4 linked regions of the Oreochromis niloticus genome follow. The protein of the gene in region 4 interacts with the protein of the main gene of each other region in a pairwise test. Links are inferred from orthologs where the notes say so. Each region holds a gene or a part of one and is shown on either strand. Other genes may lie near its edges.

Region 1 (7,612 bases), on a different chromosome or scaffold from region 4:
CAAACCACTCTCTGTACCATTTCTTCCAGTAAAGGCTTAGTCTCAGGCAGAAACTGTAGAATGGCAAACACTGAATTTCTTTAAGAATTAATCTACCTGGACTAAGAATAGGATTTTCCTTTAAGAAAAAAAGTCTCTCTCACTGACCTGTGGCAAAGCAGTGTTCAGCTGTCTCTGTAGTGAGTCCCTTTCATGGCTAACTTCATGCAGTTTGCTCTGGGTCAGGCCCAGATTCTCCTGAGTCTCTCTCAGGGTCTCAAGAAGACGATCTCGCTCTTCCAGCATAGACACCATCAACGACTCAAAGTGACCCTCTGAGTCAGATTGAAGTGGCGAACCAGAACCTCGACGGCCTCCTCCATTTCCACCACCAGGGCCTTCGGCCTCACTGATGGTGGGCATCACCTCGCACATCATCTGCAAAAATAAAGAGCAGGAGAAAACAGGAGAGACAAGGCCCTCCGTCACTGTCACGTCAATAAAGCAAAAAATTCACCCCTCATGGAGAAGTCATAACACCAATTACTAAGTGCTATGGATAATTTCCTTTTTACTTTCATTACTCTCTTTCGCTTATGATCCTAGCCAAGTTTTATAAAAACAAAGTTACAACTGTGTCATTTACATGTTTCAGAATGAGTATTTGGGCGTAGCTATGCAGGAAAGAAAGCTGTATATGCAATATTCATGCTAAGGCAAAGAGCTTGTGTTATGCAACAGAGGTCTGTGTGCTATTTTGTTAGGACATTACAGAGTCAAAAAGCATATTAACTTGTTAAAACTGAATACTAAAACTTCTTTGAAGAACACCAAAGAAAAACAAAACAAAACAAAAAAACCCCCCCACACAGATCCTATATCAACAAAATTATTAACACACTGAGATATAACATTAGACAGTGGGCAAGTCTCAAAGTCCTCATCAGGGGTAATTTAATCTCCATAGTTTAAATTAACCCTCACAGTAGCTTTTTGACTAACAAAAGGGACAACAAAGACCAAAATCAGTTGAATCTAGTTGACTTACTGTAATGGTTAACTAGTTTGTGCTGATAGTAGTCTATAGAAAAACAATTACGTTAACCCATTCTAGTTAAATTTACGAAAAAGCTGAGAAGGTCTGGGTAATAAAGCCGCTCTCCATATCAAGCGGCTCAAGTCCTGTAGACAGGCTCCCAGACAGACAAGCAGGAATCATGTGAGTTGGATTTAACCAACCTAAAAGGAACAACAACTTCCAATAGGGAACACGTAGCAGCTAGGTACACCAAAATCTCAAAAACACTTAACTGCACTTTCCTATAACTGAGGCGGACCATTCTTGATACATGCCAATTATTTAGAACAAATCTACCTACTAGACCCTTGCAAAGTGAAACGCAAAATCCAAACTAACGCTTTTTATTGAGGTCAAGCCCCTCTGGATAAACCATGTTTAAGAGGGGGATGGTCACATTGAGGATCTTTATAAAGGTAGTGACAGATGGCGGGGGGCACTACCTACCCTACCTACCTACCTACTGCACCATGCATCAAAAACTAAAGGATGACAAGTGGAAGTAGAGGACTTTGGCTGACTTGCAGAGGAGCGATTCTCGAAGCTTTTTCTTTTTTGCAGAGCGAAGATAAAGGCTAACAGGGTAGTAAATGAGGTATAGCAAACGATTGAGGGGGCCACCAATTGTCAAAGTAATTACAAATCTATTTAAAGTATTTTTGTATTTTGCATTTTGTAAATGATTATTTTTAATGAAGAACTAGGTCCCCATCAAGAGGATGGCTGGAAGCCGAAATGCATCGACGGTATAGTGCTTGCCCATTGTACTGCTATCAGATACGTCTGGGAGTTAGGTTAAACCCTACAATTGTTTTCTAAAGTTGTTTCGTGTTAAAGTTCTTTCTCACCTTCAAAGAATATTATTACTCCAAGTTCCTTCGTAAATCCAGGTTATGTTATGACGAAGTAAACGTCAACAAGTCCAGCTAACTCCAACTGTGGATTAGAGCCTTGTCAAGCTTTACAAGTATCCAGAGTCATTCAAAACAGAAATTCCATTCAGAGGCAGGGATGCATTAAGGCAGTGAAAGGGTCCTCTTGGTGGAAAAAAAAAAGATAATTTCAGAAAAGGCCTCAAAGCGAAACTCGCATAAAGTGAGCAGGGGGCAGTATTCCAAGTTTGACTGGCTAACTCTGCGCTAGCCAACAAGCACTAAGTAAGCTGGTGATTCGGTGATTGCATATCTGGATTCTGGAACGAAGCGTTCATTTTTGCATCTCAAAACGAACGACCATCCTCAGATATAAAGTTTGACTCATATATAACTAGTGAACATTAACTGATACAGTTAAGTGACGTGAAAAAAATAAGCAGCCGTAGTCGGTTTAGCTAATTTGAAACAGGACTCTTTGGCTTAAAGACAGTTTAAAGTCGACAACTAGCCAATGTTAGCTACTAGCCAGCTAGGAAGCTAATGTTTGCTGCTCTATTTTAGCTTAAAAACGTCAGGCAGTCATTGAAGCATTAACATTATTTATTATAAAAGTACATAACATGATAAAATCTATCATAAAAGTTTCTTACACTATCTAAAATGCTAAAATCCTGAAATGAGTCTTAAAAGCTCTGTTAAAAATTATTCATTTATCAAGTAGCGTTAGCATCAGCTAACGTTAGCTTCCCGTCGATTCCGTGGAGTCGCGTCACCACATCACGGCACCAGCTAGGAAACTTCCAGCTAACATTCAACGTTAGCAGCGTTTCAGTCTGTTTACGAAATCCAGACCGCTTATAAAAACATATATTCCCTTTGTTTCCGCCCGATTTCCCGGCGTTCTGTCAGTATTTCCACCAAAAAGGTCCGTTGGTCCGGTCCTTCCCTGTCGCCACTGCCTGCCAGCTTCGGCAGTCGGGACAGCCAATGGTGGGCTAAGTGTCGCTTGCACTTAGCCTGCCAGTCTACGGGAAGAGAGCGCTTCCCAGGTTGGCAACAGGAGGAAGTGGAGAAGTAGCAGTACGTTCAGTTCCTGTAGGGATATAAGCTTACACTCGTCGTGTATTGAAAAGACAGAGACAAAGCACGACTTTTCCATCAACAATACTGTTATTTCTTTACATTTACAGGTTACAATATCTCGGATGTATGTCTGTGAAGGTTCTCGGATGTCTCACCGTTCGGCTAATATCAAACAGGCTATTTTACCATAGTTTGTATTCTGATATGTTTTAAATACACATGTAACTTACATTTAACATTTAATATTGTATTTTTGTCTATGTTTTGCTTGTAGAACCAATAATGATGATAATAATAATAATAATAATAATAAATAATAATAATAATATAACGTAACTATGATTAAGAGGAACATTTAAGAGTTTGATTTAAAAGGCCCCGAGGTCATCTTAACCGAATTCAGCCATTATAATTTAAAATGTAACTTTTGGAAGAAGGTATCGAAGAGCCAAACGTTTTTGTTTTTTTTCCAAATAATTTCTTTAGTTCACTCTTTGGCCCACATTCAGTCGTTACTGATAAACCAAGCTCTCGCAATAAAGAACATTTACGCCCTCTTGTGACGGATTAACCCAACAAGTTTTGTATTCATTTATTTTGTCAATTTTGATGTGATATTTTGAGAATTTATTTTTTTACAGAAGCTCACTAGAAAATGTTTGAGTTATAACTTTAATGCATTTTAATAAAACTTTAATGCAATTTAATTTTAATGAACAATTTGACAGGTCTGAGGTTTAAAATATGGCAGTGAGTCCTTTTGTGATGTATAGTTTGACAGGTAAATGCAAGACAGACTACGTGTGTGAATAAGAGGGAGACAGGTGAAACTGACAAAAAGACATGAGGCTTAATTGGAGTTGGCAGAGCTGGAGATGTAGAGATTTTCATTGCACACCACAGAATCAATCTGTTCCATTCCAGGTCTGTACAAGGTTGGAATGGGGTACAAGAACATCAGTAAGGTGTTCTTGGTGAGGTGACAACTCAAGACCCTCGGTTTTCCAGTTGCAATTCCTTCATTATCAGTATCTCTTCTTCAAGATGTATCAACTCCAGTTGGAGTAGTATGACATGCCTTGTAGTCACCATTATTTAAAATAAACACAGGAAGCACAAATAAAAAGTAAAGATTGGCCAACAATGCTATATACTCCCTACCTCCACCCAGTGTTTTGGTGGCGGTATTGCAGAGCCTCTTGGGCATTAGAGTCAGAAACATGTTAGAAACAGGGTGGCTGTGTATTGGAGGATCATGGCTTAGGGGGAGAGGCAGCACACTGGAAATGAACTGGGAGTGTGAAGACATGCTGAGGTGGAGATGGGGTAGTGGTGGCTGTGGCTGTAGCAGTGGCAGCAGACCTGGGAGGGGGGCAGATAATGAATCAAACCCAATTAAAAAAGTGATGCAGTTCATTTGACCACTTGTGTCCCTTATAGGCTGAGAACTCCTTATAGTCCAAGATGGTCCAGAGACCCCTCCAGTCTCTGCTGACACTGTACAGGTAAAGCTGGTTCTCCATCCTCCTTCTGTCGGTGTTGTAGATGTTTTCAAAGTGTGGGTGACTGCTGGTTCCTTGTGTACTAAAAGTATATATGGGACTTTTAATACACAAGGAACTATTCCCAAACAAAGAAAATTAATGGATGGACATTTAAATCCAGATAGTTATCATCAAGTCACTTCACAAATTCAGGTAAAACAGGGCCATAAAGCAAGGACAAGAGGACAGTGTCATCAGAGAACTTGACTATAAATCTGTTCTCATAAGAAGTCCTGCAGCTGTTTGTGTACATAATAAAAATAAGTTGTGACAGAGCACATCACTGGGGTGAATCAGAGCTCGACACAATCCTGCAGGATTTGTCCACTAACGAGGACCTGTTGGACCCTTTGAGTAAGAACATTTAAAATCGGCATCGGGAACTGGTCTGGGAGGCCAGTCTCTCCCTCAGAATATGAGGCTGTATCTTATTACAAGCAGAGGAGAAGTCAGCAAACAGAAGTCATGCATGAGAACTGGGTTTTTCGAGGGGCTTCTAAAAGCACAACAAAAATTAAATTGTGGTTTTTTTTTTTTTAAAAAGAGTTTTACTTGACTGATAAGCAAATTGCAAAGAATCAAGTTTGCTATTATTGGAGGACACAATAATACTTTTTAAGATCTTTTCAAAGGTTTTCATTACAATTGATGTAATTGCAACTGCTCTGAAATCAGCTAATTCATTCAATATTTAGGAATAGGTATGATAGTGGATGTCTTCCAAATTGTGGGGATTTGTCCACTACCGATGCACCACTGGAAAAGTTAGGGTTAGAACCTGCTAAGCTAGTCAGTAGCAATGACTGCAAGATTTGGTACTGATCCAATAAATACAGGGCAGATACCAATACCGATACCATGCTTTTTAATAATAAAGGTGGATACATCATCAAATGGCTTAATCTGAATTAATTAGTTAAAACCCAGAACAGAAACAATAAAATGATCAAGTGTGTAGGACATGTACTTGTAGTTTAAATATGGTAATCATGCAGTATCCCTTTCACAATTAACACAAAAGGGTAGTTATATTCAATCAAATCTGAAGCATATTATATTTGGTATATTTGTTTCAATTCCACTAAATGTTTTTATTCAAATAACATGTTTCAGTGTGAGCATGCTTACTTGCTTGCCTAGTGCTTCTGAGTCACGTGATAGTACAACATCACAGCACAAGAGGGGAGAGGAGGAGCAAACTGTGGCTCTTCTGTGCTATGATACTTGAATGCAGTGGCAGACCAGACTGCCTCTATGATGACCACAGCGGTACATACAGAAAACCCCCCCAGAAACTATCAATCTGATTACACTTGTATTGATCAATACAATACAATACAACTTTATTTGTATAGCACATTTAAAACCAGAGGTAGCCAAAGTGCTTCACAAAATCCAATAAAACAGTAGCAAAGTACAAAGCAGATAAGCTAGCAGGTGGGAGGCATTGATTAACCAAGCATACAAGTACGCAGATAAGCAAGTAAGACTTAAAGATAAAATCGATAAAACAATATAAGCAAAAGAGAGGAAAAGGGGAGGGCAAGAAGGTACACTTAAAAGGCATGCTCTAGGAAGCCGGGAAGGCTAAACTAAAAAGATGGGTTTTCAATTGAGACTTGAAGACTTGAGACAGACACGCGAATAGCATGAGGGAGGAAGCGAAGTGAAGCGAAGGCACGGTCACCTCTGGTTTTCAGCCGTGACCTAGGTTGCACCAAGAGCAATTGGTCAGACGATGTCAGTGTTCTACTGGGAATATACACGCTGAGGAGCTCAATAAGGTAGCTAGGTGCGATATTATTTATGATTTTATAGGTAAGCAGTAGAATTTTGAAATCAATGCGGTATTTAATTGGAAGCCAATGGAGGCCAGTGAGAATTGGGGTGATAGACTCAAACCTTACAGTACCAGTTAGAAGGCAATCCACGGCATTTTGGACAAGTTGCAATCTGAAGGGCAGAATGAAGCCCAGTGTATAGGGAGTTGCAGTAGTCTAACCTGGATGTGACAAAGGCATGGATAAGCTTTTCTAGATTTTCATGTGGTAAGTATGGCTTGGCCTTAGAAATGAAATGAAGCTGATAGAAACAAGATTTAATAACAGAGGACACATGCTTGTCAAACATAAAGGAGCCATCCAGGTAAACACCCAAATTACTTGCGGAATCGGAAAGAAAATCAGCGAAGGGCCCGAGGACACCAGTTAGATGGGCTCTAGGGGTATTACTGTCAAAGATTACAATTTCCGTTTTCTTGTCATTTAGCATAAGGGAATTGCTCAGCAGCCAGTCTTTAACCTCACTTATACAATCAAAGAAGCGAAGCATCGATGAAGTATCATCCTCAGTCTATTCAAAATAAATTTGAATGTCATCCACGAAGCAATGATAAGAGAGTTTGTACTTTTCAATAATACGACCAAGGGGTAACATATATAGAGAAAACACCATAGGACCCAGCACAGACCCCTGAGGAACACTACAGGTAACAGGGGCAATGGAAGAGGAGTAGATACCCATGTTGACAGAGAAGGACTTCTCCGATAAGTAGGATTTAAACCAACTAAGGGCCATACCCATAATGCCAACCAGATGTTCAAGCCTCATTAAGAGGATATTATGGTCCACCAGATCAAAAGTAGAGGACAGGTCCAACAAAACTAAGACCGCGGGGCACCCAGAGTCAGTAATTAAAAGAAGATCATTGAAGACCCTCAAGAGTGCCGTTTCTGTACTATGGTGCAGTGTAAACCCAGATTGGAATTTATCCCAGATGTTATTCGCATTTAGATAGGTCTGAAGTTGTGATAGGACTATCTTCTCGAGGATTTTTGACAGGAGCGGAAGTTGCGAGATAGGTCTGTAATTAGTGAGGTTAGAGTGATCAAGGGAACGCTTTTTAAGAACAGGTTTCACTATGGCATGTTTAAAGGCAGCTGGAACACAACCCAGTGACAAAGAAAGATTGATTAGTGATAATATACAAGGCCCAATTACATTAAATCCCTCCTTAATAATGTGAGACTGGAGAATGTTGTGAACAGAATTTG
Region 2 (6,987 bases), on a different chromosome or scaffold from region 4:
CATGGAAATCAAATGTGTGATAAGCTGCAGGATTCAAACACAAGTGTAACTTATAAATACATGTTCATACTTTTATTCCACAATCAGAGAGAAAGAAACAGAGAGAGAGTGCAGGACAGACAGACAGGTGACAGTCTCAGGTGTATACACTGCTACAAAACAGCACAAGAGAAGGAGGATTTAGTGTTTGTGTTATTACGAGTGCTAAACAAGAAGAGTTCCCAGATGGTGCAGTGGACACATGTGTGACTCCAGTGATTAAAGCATCTTTCTTTCAGCTTAACGAGTGAACCGTCAGCTCGTTCAAACACACGTTAAAGTCCGTTTGGCTCGACACCACCGAACAGAGGCAGCAATATAACATAGCTAACATTAACAGTGCAGTGAATCCTGCGTGTGCCGTGATATTCAGGACTGCAAACCGAGCAGCATCACTGACTTTCAGCTTGTTGTGTTTGTGGATATATGACTGACTTTAATTATCCACAAAATCATCAGATTCTCTGTAAGATTAAGGTCGACTATCTAACGGCGTATAAAGTAAAGGCTTTAAAACAAAGTAAATGCTGAAAGTACAAACATCGCTAATGTCACATAACTTTGCCGGCATGTGGCCAACAGTAATGTTTTAATGTTCCTCATTATTAAACATTTGCACATAAATAAGTGACATAATATTCAGAACTTACTTTTGAAAGTTTACTCTTTGGCCGCTCCACTTCTTTGAAGTGTCTCCCAGTGCACTTGTTAGCATGTTTTGGTTCGTGCAATTGGTCCGTCCGGGTATTGTCTCCCCAGAAACATTTCCGTTGTCTTTTTTCCTATTTCCGTTGTGCTTTGTGTGCTTTTGCAGCGTTTTTCTTTTTGCAGCGTTTTTCTTTTTGCAGCATTTTTCTTTTTGCAGCATTTTTCTTTTTGCAGCGTTTTTCTTTTTGCAGCGTTTTTCTTTTTGCAAGTGTTTTTCTTTTTGCAAGTGTTTTTCTTTTTGCAGCGTTTTTCTTTTTGCAGCATTTTTCTTTTTGCAAGTGTTTTTCTTTTTGTAGCATTTTTCTTTTTGCAGCATTTTTCTTTTTGCAAGTGTTTTCTGAAGTTGCAGTCCGTTTGGCCTCTCAGGGCCACCGTATAAAACTGTATGTAACCATGAAAAAAGTGTTGCCATGTCCACCAGGACAGTATAGTATAGACAGTATAGTATAAACAGTAGTATAGACTCCTTCACATAGTGGACATTGAGTTGTTGTGTGGGGCACCAGTAGTCCATGTGTGTTGCTGTAACAGTAGTTCATGTTTAGAATAAAAAGTCCCAGCTCACTGACTTGATCGGGGCAATAGTGCCTAAAAGGTTGCATAATTTTGCTGAGAGATCTTTTACTTTGTGGTAATCTTAGACGAGTAGTTTTATGGACAAAAACCATCAGGTCATTCAGTGTTCCCTTAGTGCTAATGTGTAAGAGATGTTGGTGCACTATAACTGAAGTAATGTCCTTAAAGTCATATTCTTTTATTGTCATGACTCTATTTGAAGCTTTTTTTTATTTTTGTATGATACCTGATTTATATGGAATATGGCTGAAGTAAACTAAAGTCTAAAATCAGTCATTTATTTAATAGTAATTTAACATTATATAATTCACATATAAAACTATGAATTGTAATTTTAAATGGTTTAAAAGCATGTAGAATAGCATATGTAAGCAAGTATATTTCTCCCTTTTTTTTCTTTTTTTTTTAATGAAGAAGCAAAGACAAAAAGGAAAAAAAGAAAAAGAAACAGCGCAGGGTTCGGTGGTTGAATCATCCGTCCCCACCAATGCCAAAACCAAATCTACGCCCTTGTCTGTTGGCCCCGTTTCTATGCGCAGACAGCGGAGGCTTTCAAGTACCTCTGTGTTCATCCTGATGCAGAGAACGGCACAGGAACTGATTCCTGCCACTAGCCATCAAACGTTACAACTACCCTCTACTACAACTGGACTATTTAGACTCGCCACATCTTGTGTATATTGTCCGTAGTATCATTAAACTTTAGAGTATTTATTTTAACTAATTGGACCTTATTGGAATGTGGCCCTTTTAAAACGTATTTTTATATATATTGTTTACATTTTTCTAGCTTCATATTTTATATCATATTGACATTTTAATTTATCCCTCCACCTCCACCCACACACCGTGATTAATAAAGTAGTCTGATTCTGACTGATTTCACAGCGTGGATTTTGGGGGATTTCCCCGGTTCACGTCGAGAGACAAATAACAAAACTGAACAATCAATATTGACTTCGGTTACCGGTAAACCTGTGTGGTTTCTGTTTTCTGAGCATCAGTATGAGTGCAGATTTTCCGGAAATCCGGGGTGATCAACAGGTTCAGTAATACTCAAACCAGGACAGCTGACACAAACCTCATATTTATTCCTATTTTCTGGAGTATGATGTCATCATTGGGCGAAGCGCCTGCTGGGTGTCGCGCACCGCTCTGCTGCCGCGTGATTGGCTCATTCTAATGTGGTTTCTAACAAAGCGCTCACTCGGTGTACATGCATGCTTTCGTCACGAATTATGAGGATGCTCTCACTCTGTGCCTCTCTGGCGCCCCCTGCTACCACTCAGTACATATGACATAAATAGAACCCCACAGTGCACAGCCTTCCACTGAAGTCATTCACAAGCACAGCACATCCACGCCATCCACTGGCTGACACACTGAATGGAAACTGTCAGTGTGGGTCAAAGAGTTCATGAACTGATTCAACTCTCTGCCTGCGCCCTGTTAGAAACTATAAGAAGAAGAATAAATGCATTTCATCTTCCAGCTGAAACACACTCCGCTCTCCGTCCTACCTTCGCCTTCTTCTGCCTTTTCTTCTGCAGCGCTTTAAAACGCGTCTCCCGTCTCTGCGCTCACCGGTGACCTTTCCAAATGTCGGCAGTCCCAGTTAATCACGATATCATCCGCTGGGACGCGTTTCCTTTGAACAAATCGGAGAGCCGCGGAGCTCCGAGTCGAGCCAACCCGAGTCAGCAGCCACCTGCAGATCCACACACTTGATTAGGCTGCCAATCTCCGCTAATTACAATGCAGCCTGCAGGCGCCACCTGGCGACCATGATTAACGCTTCGGTAGTGACAGTATTTTTAGCTGGTGAGGGTTTCAGTCGAGCAGGTGATGTTTGGAGAAAATAAACCAAATGTGTGTAAGGGGTGACTATGGAACAGGGGTGTGTCCAGAGAGCCAGTATGAGGGGTGGCACAGCCCCCTCATGGTGCCCCCCACTAAGGTAACTAAAGTAGAGTAGTGTTGAGAGCATGGCTACTTTGTTTCTGTATGTTATGATACTTTCCTCCTCTAATCCAATATATTTTGGATAAATTCCTTGCACTGTGTGCTCCCTGCCACGTATTTTAATGATTTTAAACTATGATTCTGCTAATACATGATGCTAGGTTATTATAGACAAAGCTACCGAGCGTTGTATGTAATTAAAACAGTCAAGCTGCAACAACAAAGTGATATACATGGTTTTATTATAGTACTTTAAGTACATTTTGAAATGATGTGTATACTAGTATTTAAATGAGGACATGACTTTTACTTGAGTCATGTTTCTTGTTCCTGGAATAGCCCATGCAAACATCGCTCACAGAGCACGGATGGGTTTTTTCTTCTCCTCCTGCTGAACAGCTGATGATAGCACCACTGAGTTCAGGTTAGACAGGATGATGTGAGTCTGCAGGATGTTGTGCTTTATGTTTGTGTTTAAGTGCTGTCTTAATCTCTGAATTCATCTCCAACAGTGGCACGAGCAAAATAGAAAGTGCTTGTACTGTAGTTATGCAGTGATATAAGAGTGATGTAAACTCAATTTACTGCAAGAGGCCAGATGGTTGCGGTGCCAGTGAAAAAACAAGTTAACCCTCTGGTTTTCAAATAAATGTACACTTTAAAGTAATCACTTTGCTGCTGTGTATCTGAACATGTTACTTTTTGTGTGGTTCACATTTTTACTGTCAGGCATCATATTAAGCCTGTTCAGACCCAAAAAGCCAAGATTAAGTTGCTGTAAGTTTAAAGCTGCAGTAATTAAAATATTAGATGGCAAATCAAATGTTTAATACCTCAAAATCTTTTTTTTGTTTTTGTTTCAAAACTTGTGCTGCTCTGAAATGACCCTGGTTCTTTTTCCACACAGGATCCCACTGAAGCTTGTTTTGGACTGAAGCTGACGCTGATGCTCAGGTAAAATTATTTCACATCACACCTCATACATCTGTTACTACAGCAGTTAGCAATACACTTTTCAGTCAGTGGCGTTTAATGAATTAAATAACTGTGGTTTTCATTTCACTTGGGACCCCCCCGGAGAGCCCTCAGGGACCCCCCCAGCTCCATGGACCCCACTTTGCTAGTGATTGATACACTGACCTGTGCCGGGCTTTCCATGAATTGATAATTTAATTAAAGTGGCATCCAGGGAGCATCATACAACCCTTCCTCAAGGCAACTATAGCAGCACGACTGCCATTATCAAGCTGTACAGATGGCCCAGTTGAATGATGCAGTCAGTTTAATTCCCTGCGATCCCAAACTCGTTCTATATACAAACAAAAAAACACAAATTAAAAACAACTCAAGTGTGCTGCTGAAAGATATTCTACAGAGGTCTTGTTGGATTTGCTTATCATTATGTAACGGCTGAGCATGAATTTTACATGACCTATGTTACCGAGCTGTAAATGGTTTGTTTACATCCGTAATGTTCATAAATGATGGAATAGGACTCTGGGTCACTTGAACGCATCGTGAGCTTGGAGAAAATAACGCACACTGTGATGTAGACTTCTCTGGTACTGTACCTATGGGGTAGTATATTAATTATATTAATACAAATAAATTCATTATATATAATATATTTGGATCCAGAAAGCACTAAAAATCTTTTTTTAATTAATAAAATATTCAACAGTTTCCAGTTTAAAAGTACTTGTTAGGTTAAATGGAAGTAGAATGGAAGAGTTTTGATTTACTTTAATAAAAGTATTAGTGCTAAAATTTACAACACTTTTATTAATAAGATTAGCAAGAATTGAGGTGAGGGGGCAAAAGGTGGGTTGCATCCTGGGAAGGTCATCAGTCCATCGCAGACAAAACACACACCTGCACATCCACGTTCGAATCATCAGCAAACCTGAAAAGCACGTCTTTGGACTGAGGAAGGAAACTCCTGCAGCCACAAGGCGAACATGCAAACCGTACACAGAAAGGCCCCACCCGACCGGGAGGTTCACATGAGGACAGACAAGATGACAGCGTTAACCACACCATAATCATACTGCTCCATAATTAAATACGTCCAAAATAAGATCATAAAAAAACTGATCAACAGGAGATCATAAAAAAACTGCCACATATCAAACATCCATAAATGTCTTATGATATAAGAAAGTGTTCAAGTTTCCTCTTTGATTTGCTTGATCACCTCTGTTAACTATCAAAGATCCATAGGAAAAATCCAGCATTTAGGGAGATGGAAGCCAGTGAGTTGCTTTGTATGATTCTTTATTTTCTTGGACTGTGCCACTCATGCAGTCACTCGTCTCATTCTGTGTTGCAGCTTCCTTCATGCTTCCTCTAAGCTCATTTTCTTCTGATTGGCTGGCACTCTCAAAAAAATAAAGCAAACATCAGGTGATTTGGGCTTCTGTGCTCACCGCCTGAGCTACCTGCCTGACAGGTCCATATGAGGGGTATTCACTCTCTGAGACCTGAAATGAAAGAATGGAGAAAATATCTGAAAGTGAGTGTGTAGAGCAGTCTGAGCTTTGGGCTCACAGGGATTATTTATCCATACATTTACCTATGCTTCATATCTATTACTGTAGATATGAAACATGGCTTACATACCTTGCAATATAAAGGTAACCGTTGTGATGATTTGGTGCTATATAAATAAAACTGAATATGAGCATCCTCCTTATATCAGTATCTATGCGACAGAAAATAAGGAAATGCATAATAGATCCCCTTTAAATTTCATAGACTTTACATTTTACCCTTGAATAAATGTTAAAGCCATCCGATGTGAGACATTTTATTTGTTCAAACCATCATAATTTTTAATGAAATTTGACCTAGTTTGTGACTCTGCCCTTCTGCAGATTAAAAAGTACAATCTTTCATTGTGAACAGTAAAAGCAATATCCAAATCACCCAGCTGTCTGCAATACATTCAATAAAATGAGACATGAATGCCAAGAATAACGAGAAGGCCAAGCAGGACTCCTGAGTTCAAAGCGCTCTGAGATCACTGCCATACGGGAAGCGAGCGGTGAGGTGAGCCTTACTCATCACTAGGCGTGTCACTAGCTGTACAGCATCAATATGATTAGACACACAGATGGGGGGAGGGGAGAGGCAAGAGGGAAGGGGGTGGAAATAGGGAAAAGTGAGGCAGAGAGATGACCTAATACCCGTAAAAAGAAATGAAGTCATACTAACCTGACTCATATTCCCAGCTGACACCAGCTCTCCCAATCACAGCATCCCCAGCGTGTTCGTTGACAGAGGTGTGTATGTGTGTGCCAGTCAACAGCTTCATTATGCATGTAAGCATTTCACAGCAGGTGAGGCGACTGTACGATACTGTGCGCTTTTGTGATTGCAGATAGAAATAAAGTCCGCTGTGTACACAGGAAGGCTGAAACACTCTTCAGGAAACTGATGATTTTTATAATTGATTATTCATTATCATGCAAAATTTGATGATGTGTTCTTTACTGATTATAAATTGTAACGATCGTTGGGTTCTGGACAATTTGTTGGACTAAACAAACAATTTTAGTGAAGCTGTGGAAGGCTAAATGATTAACTCTTAATAAAAATAACTGACATATGAATCAATAATAATTTTGTTGGCTACTTGTGTGTCACACTGCTCGCTGAATAAATCCCCGAGCACTGCAAAAAATTAAAAATAGCAGAAAAGAA
Region 3 (7,186 bases), on a different chromosome or scaffold from region 4:
CATACACCCACCGAATGACTTGATCTTTAGCTTGCAGCGCTTGGTTGAATCTGGCTGTTTCGTTACGGAGTCTTTGGCGCTCAAGACTGGCTCGCCGCACAAATGCATCCTGGGAGTCCAGCTCCTCCCATTCCTCAGAAAGCACCTGCAAAACAGCGGATCCTCAGCTGATTAAAACATATTCTAACCTGGCACCTATGAGGAACTTTGAGCTTGAAAATGCTTAACTGAATAATCAACATTAAGAGGTTTATGGGCACTGGATTAAATGTTAAAGCTCAGTTTCTCGACACTGATAAAGTTGATCGGTAGACTAAAGACTTTTTCATTTAACTTTTCTTACAGGCTTAATACATGTCGGAGAAACTTGCTGTGAGTGTTGTTTAATTCAAAATCTTCCGTCCTATCACCTTCCCCAGGCTTCTGAACCTACCTGCCAACTCTCAAGTGGTCGGAGACGCTCCAGTTCCAGCTCCTGTGTGTGCAGACTTCTCTGAGCTTTTTCCAGCTGAGAGCGCAGGCGCTGCACCTCCAAACAGCAATCCCTGTGCTCCCTCTCCACTTGATGCGCTGCCCACTGGGACTGGAAACAACAGAAAACACGTGGTGAATAAAACAGACAAGCCTCTGCTTTCTTTACATGCTGAAGTCACTGAACTTACTTTTATGTGTGAGAGCTCATCTTTCAAGCTCTTATTCTCGGCCTCCAGGGCTGTGAGCTCCTGCTGGCTCTGGGTGCGGTGCTGCTCCCACTCCAGAGAGCGCTGATGATATTCCTGCAGAGAGAGGGGAGCATGATTATACCTCACATACCCAGCAGACGGCAGCAATCCAATGGCATGACTGGGGTGATATCAGGGTTCACCTTCTGGAGGTCTGTCTCTTTCACTCCTGCGTTAGCGTCCTTGAGGTGTTTGCGCTGAAGCTTGTGGTAACTTCTCTTTAACTTATCCAACTGCAGGAAAAAAAATGCACTTACTATATTTGAAATTATGCGGGAGAGTGAGTACAAACAGAAAAACTGTAAACTTCTGCCCAAGCAACAGCAGAAAAGATTTGTAACAGACGAGTTTTCACACCTCTTCACGGAGTTTGTGCAGTTGCTGCTCATACTTGGCGGCTAACTCTTGTCGGCCAGTCTGGACATCTTCAAGCTGCTTGCGGAGTAATCCAATCTACAGTCATGGGTACAGTAATGGTGTTGGAAAGAGTTAATATGAGCACACAATTTATGAGCTGTGTTAGCAACTATCTTATATTGAGGCTATGCTCATTACCAGCTGCATATTTTTTTATTTTTGGTCTCTACTCAAAATGCTCTTTATTTATTCACACTGAGCCTTGATGCACCACCCCACTTCATCGTTGGTGCCCACAAAAATTGCAGGTTTACAATCTACAAATTTTGTCATCGTCAAATCATCAACAAAAGTAAAGAATCCAAATCTAGTTTTACTTAAATAAAGGCTGATTCAATCATATCAACAACATCCATTTTTCTTTCCCTCATCTGACATTGATTTGTGGCGGCAGCAGACAAAGCAACGCCGCTGGGAAACCTTAAAAAGGGAGCAAGTGTCCTGATTAGAGGCCACCTCAACTTGCTCTTTTTAAGAGCGAGAAGCAGTGCTTCGACTCTGAGCTCCCTCCAGATGTCCAAGCTCCTAATCCTACCGCTAAGCCCAGACTCACTTCAGCTGCTTGCATCTACCACCACACTTGTTAGGTCATTCCCCAGATTTCAGCACGCACTTTAGGAGATTGCAGGCATCTCACACTCCACGTTCCCTTCACTTGTGACTAAGATCATAGCCTCAGACTTGTAGGTGCAGGCCCTCATCCAGGCTGCAAACCGCTCCAGTGCATGCTGATGGTCATGCTGTGATGAAGAACTATATCTGTTGGATGCAAACTGATTGAATAACCTCATCAGGAAGGCCGAATCTGTAGTTGGCATGAAGCTCATCAACCTGGAGATTCTTTTAACCTGACTGTCTGCGAGTCTGCTGCTATCAGACTCTTTAATTCATCTACTTTGGTCAGACCCACACATACTGATCAAGACTAAACACACCTCACTGCACTCTGCCACAAAGTATATGTGCACACCTAGCAGCACCTTTTACCTGTTAATGTCCCATAAACATTAATGTTAATACGTATGTCCTTTTATATTTATATCTTGAAGTTTCGCTGATATGATAATTTGCACAACACAGGGATGTGATTTTGAGGTTCCCACAATGGACACCTCCTCACACCGGCTACACTTTGACATCCTGTCCATGAACATCACTAACAGGATCGAGGGAGGAGTACCAACACTGGATAAACACGTGTACACATCATTATTTATCTTTTAGAACTTTGCTCCTGTTTAGAATAAACTCTTAGGCTCTTCTATTTCACCTCCAGTTCCCTCCGTTCAATTGTGCTCCTTGAGTTTAAAAGTTCCTCTTCTCTACTTTTCAGCCTGAGCTCCAAGGCACAAGTCTCATCTTCCCACTTCCTCTTCTGATCGTTGATCATGATGTCAATTTGTCGCATCAGTTCCTGAAGCTCCGGCTCACACGATGAAAGGACTGAGCTGAAAGGAAAAGCCAAATAACGAAAAGGATGTAATTTCTGTAAATGCTCATTGCCCAAGTTAGTTCTTTAAGCGCAGTGCAAGTTACCTCAGATCAGGGTTGTGCATCGACCCCAGAAAAGCCTCCATCTGGTTTAAAGTAAAGTCCTGTTAGTAACTTAAAGCGGACTGGCTTTGCGGTCGCTTCACGTGCCCTTTCCCTACGCAAGAAGTTCACTATAACTTAGCAACCATAAACGTTACTAGCAACCCATAATACACAGCGAGCTAAACCAAGGCTGACCTGACTGCTACACGGAGGTGGTTTCTGCTTCCAGCATAGTTAGCTCACGTTAGCTGCTGGCTGTGGCTGGTCCGTTTCAACTCATCCAACTTTATTTGTTTACATCACTAGCTGGACTACACTGCACAACCGAACAGCGCGCTTCCTGAGGTAAGGCGGTAACTCCACCCCGGCATGTGATGTCAACACGCTGTACGTAACTCCAGAGCACAGGAAGCAAGTGGTTTAAAATAATCAAAAGAGACTTGTTATCCACACGTCTAGCTATGTAAGTTCGTGTTTGGAAATTCCCTGTTACCTTTAACGCTTTGTAACAAATGATATCATAATATATGTCATCATGTTGGTTTTATCGACGATTAAAGGATATTGTCAGACATCCTATGAACACGTGGCTCGTTGGTCTAGGGGTATGATTCTCGCTTCGGGTGCGAGAGGTCCCGGGTTCAAATCCCGGACGAGCCCAATTTTTGTACCGGAGGACTGTTGACATATTTACTTCAAACTTCTGCAGTGAATTTTTGTAGAGTCGACTGTGGAGTCTACGTAAGTGGTCAGCACTGCTACCAGTTTTCAAGCTAATGCGCGTTTTCACTTCTGAATTGTCTTGTGGTCGTGTTCCGGTGTTCTGGGAATCCATCCTACCACACGAAACAGTCTACCCGTTGTTTCTGCGCATGCGGAAACAACGCAATCCCCAAATTTACTTCATTTTTTTAGGCCAATGTGAATATTTGTTATGGTTATGATTAGGGTTATGGTTAGGGTTACGGTTTGTCAGAAGTCACTGTCAAATTATCCTACGTATAGGACGGTTTGCCAAAGTAGGACGGTCTCAGAACTGGTGATTTATATGCTGTGCCAGTCACGGTAGAAACCAACAAAATAGTGTAGGGTCCCTACTCTTTGTGGTCAGTTGTATTTTTGGAAGGAAAAATATTTCTGACGTCGATTCCGTCCAAATAGTCTTCAGGAATTTGCTGACATCCGTTAGTCCTTATATTGAGGTTGTGATTATATTCTCTTATAGTGACGCAATGATTGTTGATTAAATACAGTCAAGTCATGGATATGTCAACATATAAAAACGCTACCACAGAACTCTTTGCAACCGGCTCGTTGGTCTAGGGGTATGATTCTCGCTTTGGGTGCGAGAGGTCCCGGGTTCAAATCCCGGACGAGCCCTCCTTTTCTATTATTCCTGAAGAATATCAAACCTTTTCAATTTATCTTGAAACATAAGGATGTTTTTAATGTTTTTCATGTTAAAGCTAACTAGATTACTTTTTCTGTGTGACTACACCCGCCTCCCGTTGCGTCATTTCCCCGTTTCTCCACCTGCCTGTCGTCAAACACTGAACAAAGAGCGTCCCCTCCGCTCTGCTTCCCCAGCTGTTATGCTGGGTGGGTATGGGGCCGTGAGAAAGAGAAAGAGCTGGAGACGTTTCTGTTCCGCCCCCACAAACCCAACAGACACTCCTAACAGGAGGCAGACGAGCCGGCTTTCTGACACCATTCACTGCAGAGAGGCTGAGCTGTGCAGCCAAAGACGGACAATAAATTACACGCAAAGGCCAGCTGTAAGTACACTCTTTATTATTATTATTATTGAAACATTTTTCTTTCAACTCAGCATAAGATAGTAGATGGTAGTGTATTTTGGTATATTGGTGTCCTTTCTAATCAGGTTCATTGTCTGGATTAAAAAACATCAATACTACAATAATTCAGATTAACGTTTATTTAAATTAAATTTGATGCAACAATGCTTCTAATAGCTAATAAAAATGTTTTTTAATGTATTAGGGAGTCACTTTGTTGAGCTTGGGATCTGCTGGAGCCATCATCTTCACCATTGTTTCTAAACACTGGACTCGCAGAAAGCCTATTCACACCCATTAAAAATTTAGATTTTGTAGAAAAATCCTTAAGTCCACAAGTTGTCAGGGTTGACCATGGTTCTCTGTGAGGATGGCGACTGTAGCGTCTGCCTGTTGCCCTACTCCCGGGAGGAGAGGATCCCCCGGGTGCTCCACTGCAGGCACACCTTCTGCGATTCGTGTCTGGAGAGGATGTCAACGGAGAGGAACGGTCTGCTCACCGTGGGCTGCCCTTTGTGTCGCCGGGTGACCTGCATAGGCCGAGGTCGAGGTCTTCGAGAAGCTCTGTGGGTTAACAGCGAGCTGTGGGACCAGATACCGGAGGATGTGGACATAAGAGAAGAAGAGGAAGAGGAGGAGGGAGAGAAGCAAACAGCTGCACAGGAGAGAATAGAAGCTAAACAGTTACAAGGAGAATGGTGGGTTTATCATTTTGAGTCTTTAAACATTACTAGTGTGGAAGTTGAGGACTGAAAATGTTTTAAATGGCAGAAAATGAGAACAAAACCTCTTTGGAGGCAGTGCTGAATATGAAATTCCTGTCATACCGAGTCCTTTACACATTAGTGCCGAGCAGTCCATTTGTCCACACAGCTTCTCATTAGCGCCTCGGCTCTACAGCATTTTTCCCAAAGCCCAGTCTGACACGAGAGCCTTTTCTCTTTTCAGCATTTCCTCGAGATCCGCCAGAGCGAAGCTCAAACTGCCCACGTTCTTCAGGAGGTTCAGTCTGACGAAGCAACACCAGGAGAGAATCGTGCCTGGCAGCAATGTGTACGTTCTGAGTTTGTAGCTTTTATTTACAGATTATTAGTAAAAATGATCACTTATATTTTTCTTTTTGTTTCATCTTAAAGGGAAATGAAATCCTGGCGCAGACTTTCAACAGAAGAGACTTTTTAAAAGTAACTGACAAGTGGCCGCTCTCAGGACGAGAAGACTCAACTTTGAAGGGAAGCTGTGGTCGCTGGGGGAGGAGGATTCATTTGTGATCCTGTCAGGACACAGTTTTGTCCTCAGCCAAAGGTGCTCCGTCTCCCCATTATTTATTCTAGGATTAATTCTCCCAGCCGTTGCTGTGGGATTTAGTTCAGCTGTCCCAGAGGGGCTAACACCCGTAGACCTAGACCCCCTCAGAACAGATGGTCCCCTCTCCATTTCAGCTCCTGAATAGCCATCATAACTTATTGTTTTCTGTATTTATGATAGCTAGGACATAAAGTATTTAATAAAACTATTTTTCAAACAGGTGTCCATTGGGTTTTATTGACATCTGAAAGAATCATGAGTTTTCCTCCTTTACTGCATGCACCATTTATGACACATGAAGTATTTAAGTGAGTGAAAAAAGTGAAGCCAGGAGGGGATTTCTGAATATTATTCTTGTGGAGAAGACGCACAACAAAAACCTGCCACAAAAGACTCATTCAACCATGAAAGTGGATTATAAAACTCCATTCACCGAGCATCTGGCACATATTCCACGTTCAATGATATCTGCAAACTGGATCATCACTTTCTTTTCTTTTTGTTCCACTTTATGTCCATGTTAAACCCCCTCCGACATATTTTAAAGAAGATACGTTGACTATGATGTGTTTGGTGTCTCAGTCACATTAAGGTCAGTGCTGTTTGGATGGAGCTGAAAATCTGTTAGTTGTCACACTGGTTTGGTCTCAACTGTTAGCCTGCGTACTCTTAGTCATATATTGGCAGGCGGTGTGTTATTCGGTCTTTGGATACCATATTCCCACGTTTAAATTACTGCCAAACAGGAAGCTGCCTCCAAGTTCAAAATAAGCTGGCAGCCACGGGGGCAGGCTGGACAGGAATGTATCGGGAAGGCAGCAACAAACAAACACGCACACGCATGATTGTGTATATGGCAACGAACCAGTTTCAGTTTTGCAATGTATTTACTGGCTCTCCGTGCAGGCCTGATGGTGGTAATCCCCAAGATTAAAGCTGAACAGAACAGGAAACAACTCCCAGATTGTCTCAGCAGTGGTGGGATAATGCACATAATTGACTTCAGTCGGAGTTGGAATGCTAAAATATAAAAATACACTTTTCCTGGAGGATAATTTAGGCCTAGCATCAGAATTAAATACTGTGGTAAATTACACCAACCTAAAAACTGAAGGCCCGCATAAGCATCTGCAGGTTTCTTTGGTCAGACTGATTAATGAGGCGGTTATTTAACCATGAGCCACAAAAATATTTTCAGCTCCAGTGGGGAAGCTTTGCAACAACGTCATGGTGTAAGATCATTTCCTCCGTACTGCATTGCAAACAATAGTACGTTCCTGTTTGAGTATCTGAATCCACACAAACACTTGCAGTACGGAAAAGTACGAAATAACTAAACAAATTAAAGATCAACTTTCATTCTTGTGATAGAAAAACTACATTATTACCTGCACAGGTGGCCTAGAA
Region 4 (7,172 bases):
AAAATCATCAATAATAATACCAATTATTCCATTTATTAGTTTTGTTTAAGAAAATGCTGTGAAAAATGCCAATCACAATTTCACAATTTCTCAAAGCTTATTTTGTCCATTCAGCAGCCTAGAATCTAAACAAATAAATTACAACTATATAAAAGCCTCATAAAGTTCTTAAAATTGTCAAAAGTGTCAATATCACTGGTTTATTGTTGGATACAAAAGTTGTGTGCTTTTCTCTAATCAGAAAAGGACTATAGTCATAGGTTTATAGCTTCACTATTGTTTTGTGGGGGGGGGGGGGGGGGGGTGTCCGTTTAGTGCCGTTCCAAAAATTCTTTACATACAGAAAGACAATGAACACATGTTTAGTTCCTTACATAATATTGAACAAAATCCACCCACCTGTGGCTTCCATCCATCACTGTCATATCTAATGGCTCCATGGAGTTGAGCTGCAGCTTTTGGCGATACATGCTCTCCAGCTCAGCCATGGTGTGCAGGTGGGCCTTCTTTAGTTCCTCCAGCTTGCTGTAGTACTCCTCATTGGAGAAGAAGATTTGACTGAGGTCGAGGCGATCTCCTGCTGCTCTGTAGTTGTTTATCAGGAAAGGGCCTCCTTTCCCAGTGCAGTCCTCGTCACAGTAATCAGAGCCTGAGTCCTCATACTCCATCTGAAATAGTCACAACAATCTCATACTGCAATCAGCAGCCATTTTATATCTAAATATTATAAGTGACCTAAATACACTGCACTTATACACTGCCCTGCGACAGACTGGTGACCTGTCCAGGGTGTACCACACCTCTCGCCCTATGTCAACATGGATAGGCTCCAGCCTCCCTGCAACCTTGCATAGGAGGAAGATGGATGGATATCCTGTTCCAGTGTTGGATGCTTATATTAAATATGATAGTTAATAATGAGTCATAATAACAATAATGAGGTCAGGTAATGTACAAGTAACCTCTGTGAGCCAAATGAGATCTTTCCATTCTCTTGTTTTATTTTTGACTCTGTATGATGTCAGTGAAAGGGGATATCCTTATCTCACCAACACTCTGGCTGTGGGTTCAGATGCTTCTTCCAGCTGCTGTTTATCTCTTCAATTTGCAAACGGCAGCAAATCATGAGAAAGTTTGCTGGCTTATTAGGGAGAGGAGAGGAGCTAAAACAGCTTGTTTCAGACAGAGGATGGACTGAAGGGCTGTATCAAGTCTCAGTATAAGATGAATAGGTAATATCTGAGTGTGAATCATGCAAAGCTATTCTAGAAGAGTCCAAGAGGCAAAATACAGAGGTGGAAATGATCAGAATAGGTCATCATTATATAACTTTTTGAAACAATATATGTTTGGATTCACTATATTAAATGTTGCATGGAATAAATATACTAATTGTGAAGCTGTCACATTGATCCATTTCATGTTCCTACATCTTCAAACATAATGGCTTAACCACCACTCATTGAGCACTCCTCCAGGACTAAGCCTATTATGCTGTCACAGCAGTGACACTGACCATATGCTGAGGCATGACAGGCAGACACACAATTTACATCAGGTGTCTGCCTTCACAGCTTTTTACTAAATTATCAAGGGCTTTACTGAAACAACTGCAACAAGATCTTTGATGGAAGAACAGCAGAAGATGAATGATCTTAGGATTATACACTAAATGTGACATTTGATAATCTAGCCGAGATGGAAGTCCACAAATAGTATGCTAAACAAATTAAACAGATCAAATCCCTTCCACCACACAGGCTGACCTGAAACTGTCAACAGCCTGTTGGAACCAGACCAGAAACAGTCTGTGGCTTACTTCACAAAGTAAAGTCTGGATAATAATGGAGAAAAAACCTTTAAATACAAACAGCCGATTGTACTCTGTTCAGACAGTTTAAACTTAATATTTAAAATACAATGTCTCAAATTGTAATATGCCAAAGATCCCAGTAACAATAAATGTAAAGGTCTGTATAGAATGACCGGGGGTCTATCTATGTTAAATTACTATTACTAAATTATTATTATTATTATTACTATTAAAAATAAATTTTAACAATTGTCGGCGCAATAAATTACATTTTTTTCGCAGGATTAAAGTACTTACAGTGACTTAGTCTGCATTTTTTTCTGCAGCATGTAATTCACTTTCTGTGTGGATTTCCTCCACCACTGAGGAAATGGAAACATCTAAATTAACTAACTGTAAATTAACCAGAAAGCTACGGTTCGTGTGTCAGTAAAAGGGGGCTGGCAGGCTGATTATTAGGAGATTTTTAAACAAAAGGCAGATGTTGTAATTGATATTCGCAATCTGTACACCACCATTAAAACTCAGTAAAAATTACCTCTTTCTCGTAGTCCCGGTTGTCAACGTGACCTGTAACCGTGCACGGCAGGACTCTCTCACGTTCATACGAAGCTAACGGCGCTTTGGTGTGCGGGTCTACCGGCGTTTTCAAACATGAAGTAACCAAAACGTTTTTCCGGTGGGCATTTGCCATGTTTTTGTAAATGTTGCTTTTTATTTATTTATTTTTTAAGTTGCCTCACAAAATCACTTGTAGTAAGAGTACTCAGTCGAGATGACAAACTCGCTCTCTATCCACATCAAGGTAGCAAGTGAAATCCTTAGCAACAGAGAAGCTTGGTTGGGAGGGAAGTGACGGAGAGTGGCAGGAAATGAAAAGCCGTGGGCTCCACACAAATTAAAAGCACCGGAATTTTTGAAAAGAATAGTTGAACAAAAAAATGTTGTAATTGCCTTAATGTATTGATTAATACTATGACATAAGTTATGGATGTGGGAAAATGAATCCTCCAGAAGTACCCTTACTCACACAATTGCAGTACACCAAAATAAATTTTAAGTCTAAAGATACGGTTAAATCTTAAGTACTTTGCATCTGTGATGCAGGTTACTTATACAAATCAGCTAGAACACTACATGATTATTTTTTAGACTTATATGTTCTTGTCTGCTTTGCCTGATGGATATTTAAAAATAATGCCTTTTATTTGATTCAGTGGTGAAATTTAGCAGTTGTTGTTATTCTTAACTGTAATCTTCAGTGTGCAAGTTTGCTGCTTAGACATATGACAGGTACAGGTATCTGCAATGCTCTGATTATACAGATTAACAGACACTAGACAAAAGGCCAGGATGTAAAGGTTCAACTTGCTTTAAAAGATATAATCACACACACATAATTTTTTATTAAATTATGCAACGTAACAACTACAGTGGAAATCTGAACAGAATGGTGTTAACAGAGTCCTCTGATCCCTTGCAGTGTGAGCAGGCTTAGTGACAAAACTCAGTGGACAGACCTATCGGGTGTTCACCTGCAACAAGAAAACACATTTCCACTGATTTGAACTGGAATCTAATATACCCAGATTTTGCAAAAAGCCAAAGGTAGTGTACAACAACTGATCTTAAAATAATTTAACTTTAAATTTTAAAAAAAAAAGAAAAAGGATTAAGTCTTACCACATCATCAATCTTCAGGATGCTACGGACCGTCTCAGTGGCCAGTGTCAGTGCACTGATGGAGACCAGTAAAGGCTGCACCACCAGTTCCTCAAGGATGTTGGAGATCCCTCCCTGTTGCACATACAAGAAATTGTTTGGTGTGTAAATTAAATGTTCTTAGAGTAAAATTAAGTGTCTTTTGTGTCTAACTAATGGTTCACATTTCCAAATTCATTTTACACTGACATTCAACAGGAAAAAAGAAAATTAATGCACTAAAAAACAAAACAACCCACAAAAAACAAACAAGACAATAGTTTTATTGGAGAGCAACTAGAGAACATTTTTATTGGATAAGTAGCTTAAATATCTACTTCTGTTAGCAGTACCTTATCCACAAAGTTAGGCTATGCTAACTTTAAAAAAATAAATAAATTTATAAATTAAAAGATCAACCTTGCGAACATTGATGCCAGCCATCTTGTCTCCCTGTGCGTGTCTGTTACGGAGCTCCGTCACAGTGGAGATGGGGTTCAGGCCAGCATTCTCGGCAAGCGTCGATGGGATCACCTCCAGGGCATCAGCGTACGCCCGCACACAATAGGCCTCCATGCCAGCCAGTGTGCGCGAGTACTCTGCCAGACGCACAGCCAGCTCAATCTCTGGAGCACCACCTCCAGCAATGAGAGCCCTGAGAGACAGAGAAGGCAAAAATGCAAAAGCCATTGGATCTGATCCTATTACTGAGAGAAATTGGGATCAAAATAAAATAATAACAACAAAAATACGTTTTCGAAAAAAGAATACATCTGTTTGAATGCTCTCCATCAAAGTTGCTGAAGCAACCCATTGCGAAAATAATGGCGAGCTTCCCTAAATACTGTTCCTCTGTTTGTTACGCTCCTGCAGGATGAGTCAGTGCAAAAGCGCCTTTGTCAGAGGGCAATCGTATCTGTAACTGTATCTAAAGGTGTTCTTGAACAGTCCAACTTTGCCATGTGAGCTAGCATGGAGGGGTATGTTTTCAGCTTTGTTAAGAATTTTTTTAACAATGAAATTTACTCTTCAGAAATAATTGACTGACCTCTTCTTGACCAGGCAGCGGATGACACACAGAGCATCATGGATGGAGCGCTCTGCCTCCTCAATCACAAGCTTGTTGGAGCCGCGCACCACAATGCTCACTGTCTTCCCAGGGCTTGTGCAGCCTGTGATCTGCAAAAAGTGGCAAGCGAGGCACAGAGTTGTTTCAGCTCATTTTTTCCTCAGCTCCAAGTGAGACATTCTGTGTCCTTTAACTCAAAAATAATCAACTGAGTTTCTCTGAGCGAAGACTCAACTGTACCTTGACTAGTTTGCCGGACCCATCCAGATTGACTTCCTCTGCTAGCTCTGCAGTGCCAAGCATCTCTGGAGTGAAGTGGTCGATGTGGGCTATGGGCTTGGTGCCAATAGTCTAAAGAAGGGGTGGGGGCTTCAGTTAAATGGTGTGGAATGCTAAACAGAGTTGTCAAAACTAAATACTTGCTCACAAGTTGAAAGTGTACAAATCTTGTTAACTGATGATTAGTTTACTATAAAAACAATTTTAAGTATAAAGTGCTGCCAAATGTGATGTAGATCTATATATGTCCATTAAATACTGTGTGAAAAACAGAGAAGCCGTGGTTCATTTGACAATACTAACCTTGCAAATGAACTCAATATCCTCTCTCTCAATCTCCTTCACCACCATGATCTTCATTTTGTTGAGGAAGTGCAGGGCGAGGTCACTAAGAGCATCTCTGTTACAGGACAGTTAGTTGTTAGTGTGACAGATGTTTCGTGTATCAGAAGAAGACTGAAATGCATAGTAGAGTGTATTTTTCTCATGTCCTTCGCTCCCTGCATACCTGAGGATGGATTTCTGGATGAGCAGCACGTTGCAGCCAGCCTTCTTAATCTGTTTTACCAAGTTGAGGATGTAAGCACGCTCCTCCCGCAGCACGCGGTCCATTTGGGCGTAGTCTGACACCACGATCTGGTTGTCCATCTACATGCCCCACAAAAACCCAACAGAAGGTTAGAAAAAGAAGGCTTTTCCTGAAGGAATACATAATGGTTCACAAGAACAGCACTGACAGTGTTTTATATATACTGAAAACAATGTCTTCTCTTCTATATGACAGGAAAAGGAACAACGATAGCAGCTGAAGCAGTCAAAACTGTAGCAGCAGCTCATTGTTAAAATCTGAAGCTGAGCATAAAAAATAAGGCAGAAAGGGTTTTCTTGTCAGCAGATATTCATCAAGCGACTCACATCAGTCTTGGGAGGGGACAGACAGAACTGAATAAGGCCAATTTTGGCCTTTTCCACTCGGGTCACACCAGTGTTGGCAACTCTCTGGGTCAGCACAAGGCCGTCTATCAGCTCACAGTCATCAATGGTGCCTCTAAACACACAACACACACATGTGATTAAGCCTAGCAAAAATCAGAAGAAATTGCTTAAATAAGAGTAGAAAAACAAACAAACAAGCAAGCAAAAACACTCACCCAAGCTTCTTGATGATTTTGATGTCCTGTAGGTCGACACTAGTGGCTGTGGCTGGGTCAATGACTCGCATAACAGCATCCACACTCATGGGTGCCAGCAGGTTTGAATACTGTGACACCACCTTGGAGCACAGTGACGTGGTGGCACTGTTGAGCAGTGTCTCACGGTCACTCAGCTGCACTGGCTGGCTCATGCCCGTTAGCACCTCCACGCCCTTATCGACTGCCTTTTGGAACGACTCCGAAATGATAGTGGGGTGGATACCTGGCAGGTGAGACAAGTAATTAAACGGGCTCAATTGTGCTCAATTAAAGGTTCATATTGTTATTCTTCAACTTTTCCAGATACACAGCTCAAAATGATCCTTATTTATCTTGTATTGGGCTTTAGTGCCATCTTAAGTTCATCTACTGTGCAAAATAAGCCTTGCAAAGTAAAGGGAGTCAACATTTCTACACTCCATCTCCAGTGCGTGAATTCAAAATGCACATAAAAACAAACTACAAGATACAAAAAAGATGCAAATAATTCTACTATAAGTTACTAATAAATATGCTAACTTTCAAATTTTTTTTACTCTTAAAAAAAAGAGAGAGAGAAAAAAAAGCTGTAGCATCACTTTTGATTTTTCAGTCCCCTGAAGCACTCACCTTTCTGCAGCAGCTTGGAGCAGGCATCCAGCAGCGCTCCAGCTATCACCACCACAGAGGTGGTGCCATCACCAGCCTCAATATCTTGGGCTTTGGACAGTTCCACCAGCTGAAACACATTTGGTTCAGGCCATATGAGTTAATCACCGAATTAACAACAGTGTTTGGTGTAAACTGTTGAAAGAAAATTTTAACAAAGCTTAAAATTATGCTTAGAAAGCGAGCACTCATAGGTCAGTTTTAGTTGCAAAGCTTCTGTGCAGGCTGCTGTAACGTACCATTTTGGCAGCGGGGTGGAGCACCTGCATCTGCTTCAGGATGGTGGCCCCATCATTGGTAATGGTTACATCACCCTTCTCATCCTGGATCTGAAACCAAAAACAACAGCCATCGCTTAGATACAGGTGTGATGAGGGACCTTGGTAAAGTCAGCGAAAAGTCAAATCTGTTTACTGACCATCTTGTCCATGCCTTTGGGGCCCAGGCTTGTTCTGATGGCATCTGCAAC

The links.
Region 1: the proteins of fam161a (region 4) and ppfia1 interact in binary tests that used the Homo sapiens proteins (3 or more experiments, as listed by UniProt). The link is inferred for Oreochromis niloticus from reciprocal best matches to the Homo sapiens genes FAM161A and PPFIA1.
Region 2: the proteins of fam161a (region 4) and lamin-A interact in binary tests that used the Homo sapiens proteins (3 or more experiments, as listed by UniProt). The link is inferred for Oreochromis niloticus from reciprocal best matches to the Homo sapiens genes FAM161A and LMNA.
Region 3: the proteins of fam161a (region 4) and cep63 interact in binary tests that used the Homo sapiens proteins (3 or more experiments, as listed by UniProt). The two-hybrid records come from large-scale screens. The link is inferred for Oreochromis niloticus from reciprocal best matches to the Homo sapiens genes FAM161A and CEP63.

Annotation. Positions count from the first base shown.
Region 1 is NC_031965.2:3,503,891-3,511,502, reverse strand, and holds the start of ppfia1 (liprin-alpha-1), read right to left. Parts: upstream 3,009-7,612; 5' UTR 1,906-3,008; intron 418-1,905; coding exon 148-417; intron 1-147. UniProt on the Homo sapiens protein: May regulate the disassembly of focal adhesions. May localize receptor-like tyrosine phosphatases type 2A at specific sites on the plasma membrane, possibly regulating their interaction with the extracellular environment and their association with substrates.
Region 2 is NC_031976.2:36,001,664-36,008,650, reverse strand, and holds the start of lamin-A, read right to left. Parts: upstream 3,023-6,987; 5' UTR 2,844-3,022; intron 1-2,843.
Region 3 is NC_031986.2:32,690,703-32,697,888, reverse strand, and holds the start of cep63 (centrosomal protein of 63 kDa), read right to left. Parts: upstream 3,013-7,186; 5' UTR 2,871-3,012; intron 2,817-2,870; exon of another isoform or gene 2,717-2,816; coding exon 2,676-2,716; intron 2,588-2,675; coding exon 2,410-2,587; intron 1,176-2,409; coding exon 1,080-1,175; intron 956-1,079; coding exon 866-955; intron 777-865; coding exon 663-776; intron 584-662; coding exon 434-583; exon of another isoform or gene 420-433; intron 146-419; coding exon 12-145; intron 1-11. Other genes in the region: im:7152348 (RING finger protein 223), read left to right, coding at 4,826-5,169, 5,420-5,524, 5,608-5,653. UniProt on the Homo sapiens protein: Required for normal spindle assembly.
Region 4 is NC_031971.2:5,234,824-5,241,995, forward strand, and holds the start of fam161a (protein FAM161A), read right to left. Parts: upstream 3,022-7,172; 5' UTR 2,508-3,021; coding exon 2,352-2,507; intron 669-2,351; coding exon 400-668; intron 1-399. Other genes in the region: cct4 (T-complex protein 1 subunit delta), read right to left, coding at 3,334-3,348, 3,497-3,610, 3,935-4,169, 4,563-4,693, 4,824-4,934, 5,166-5,262, 5,371-5,510, 5,778-5,910 and 4 more. UniProt on the Homo sapiens protein: Involved in ciliogenesis.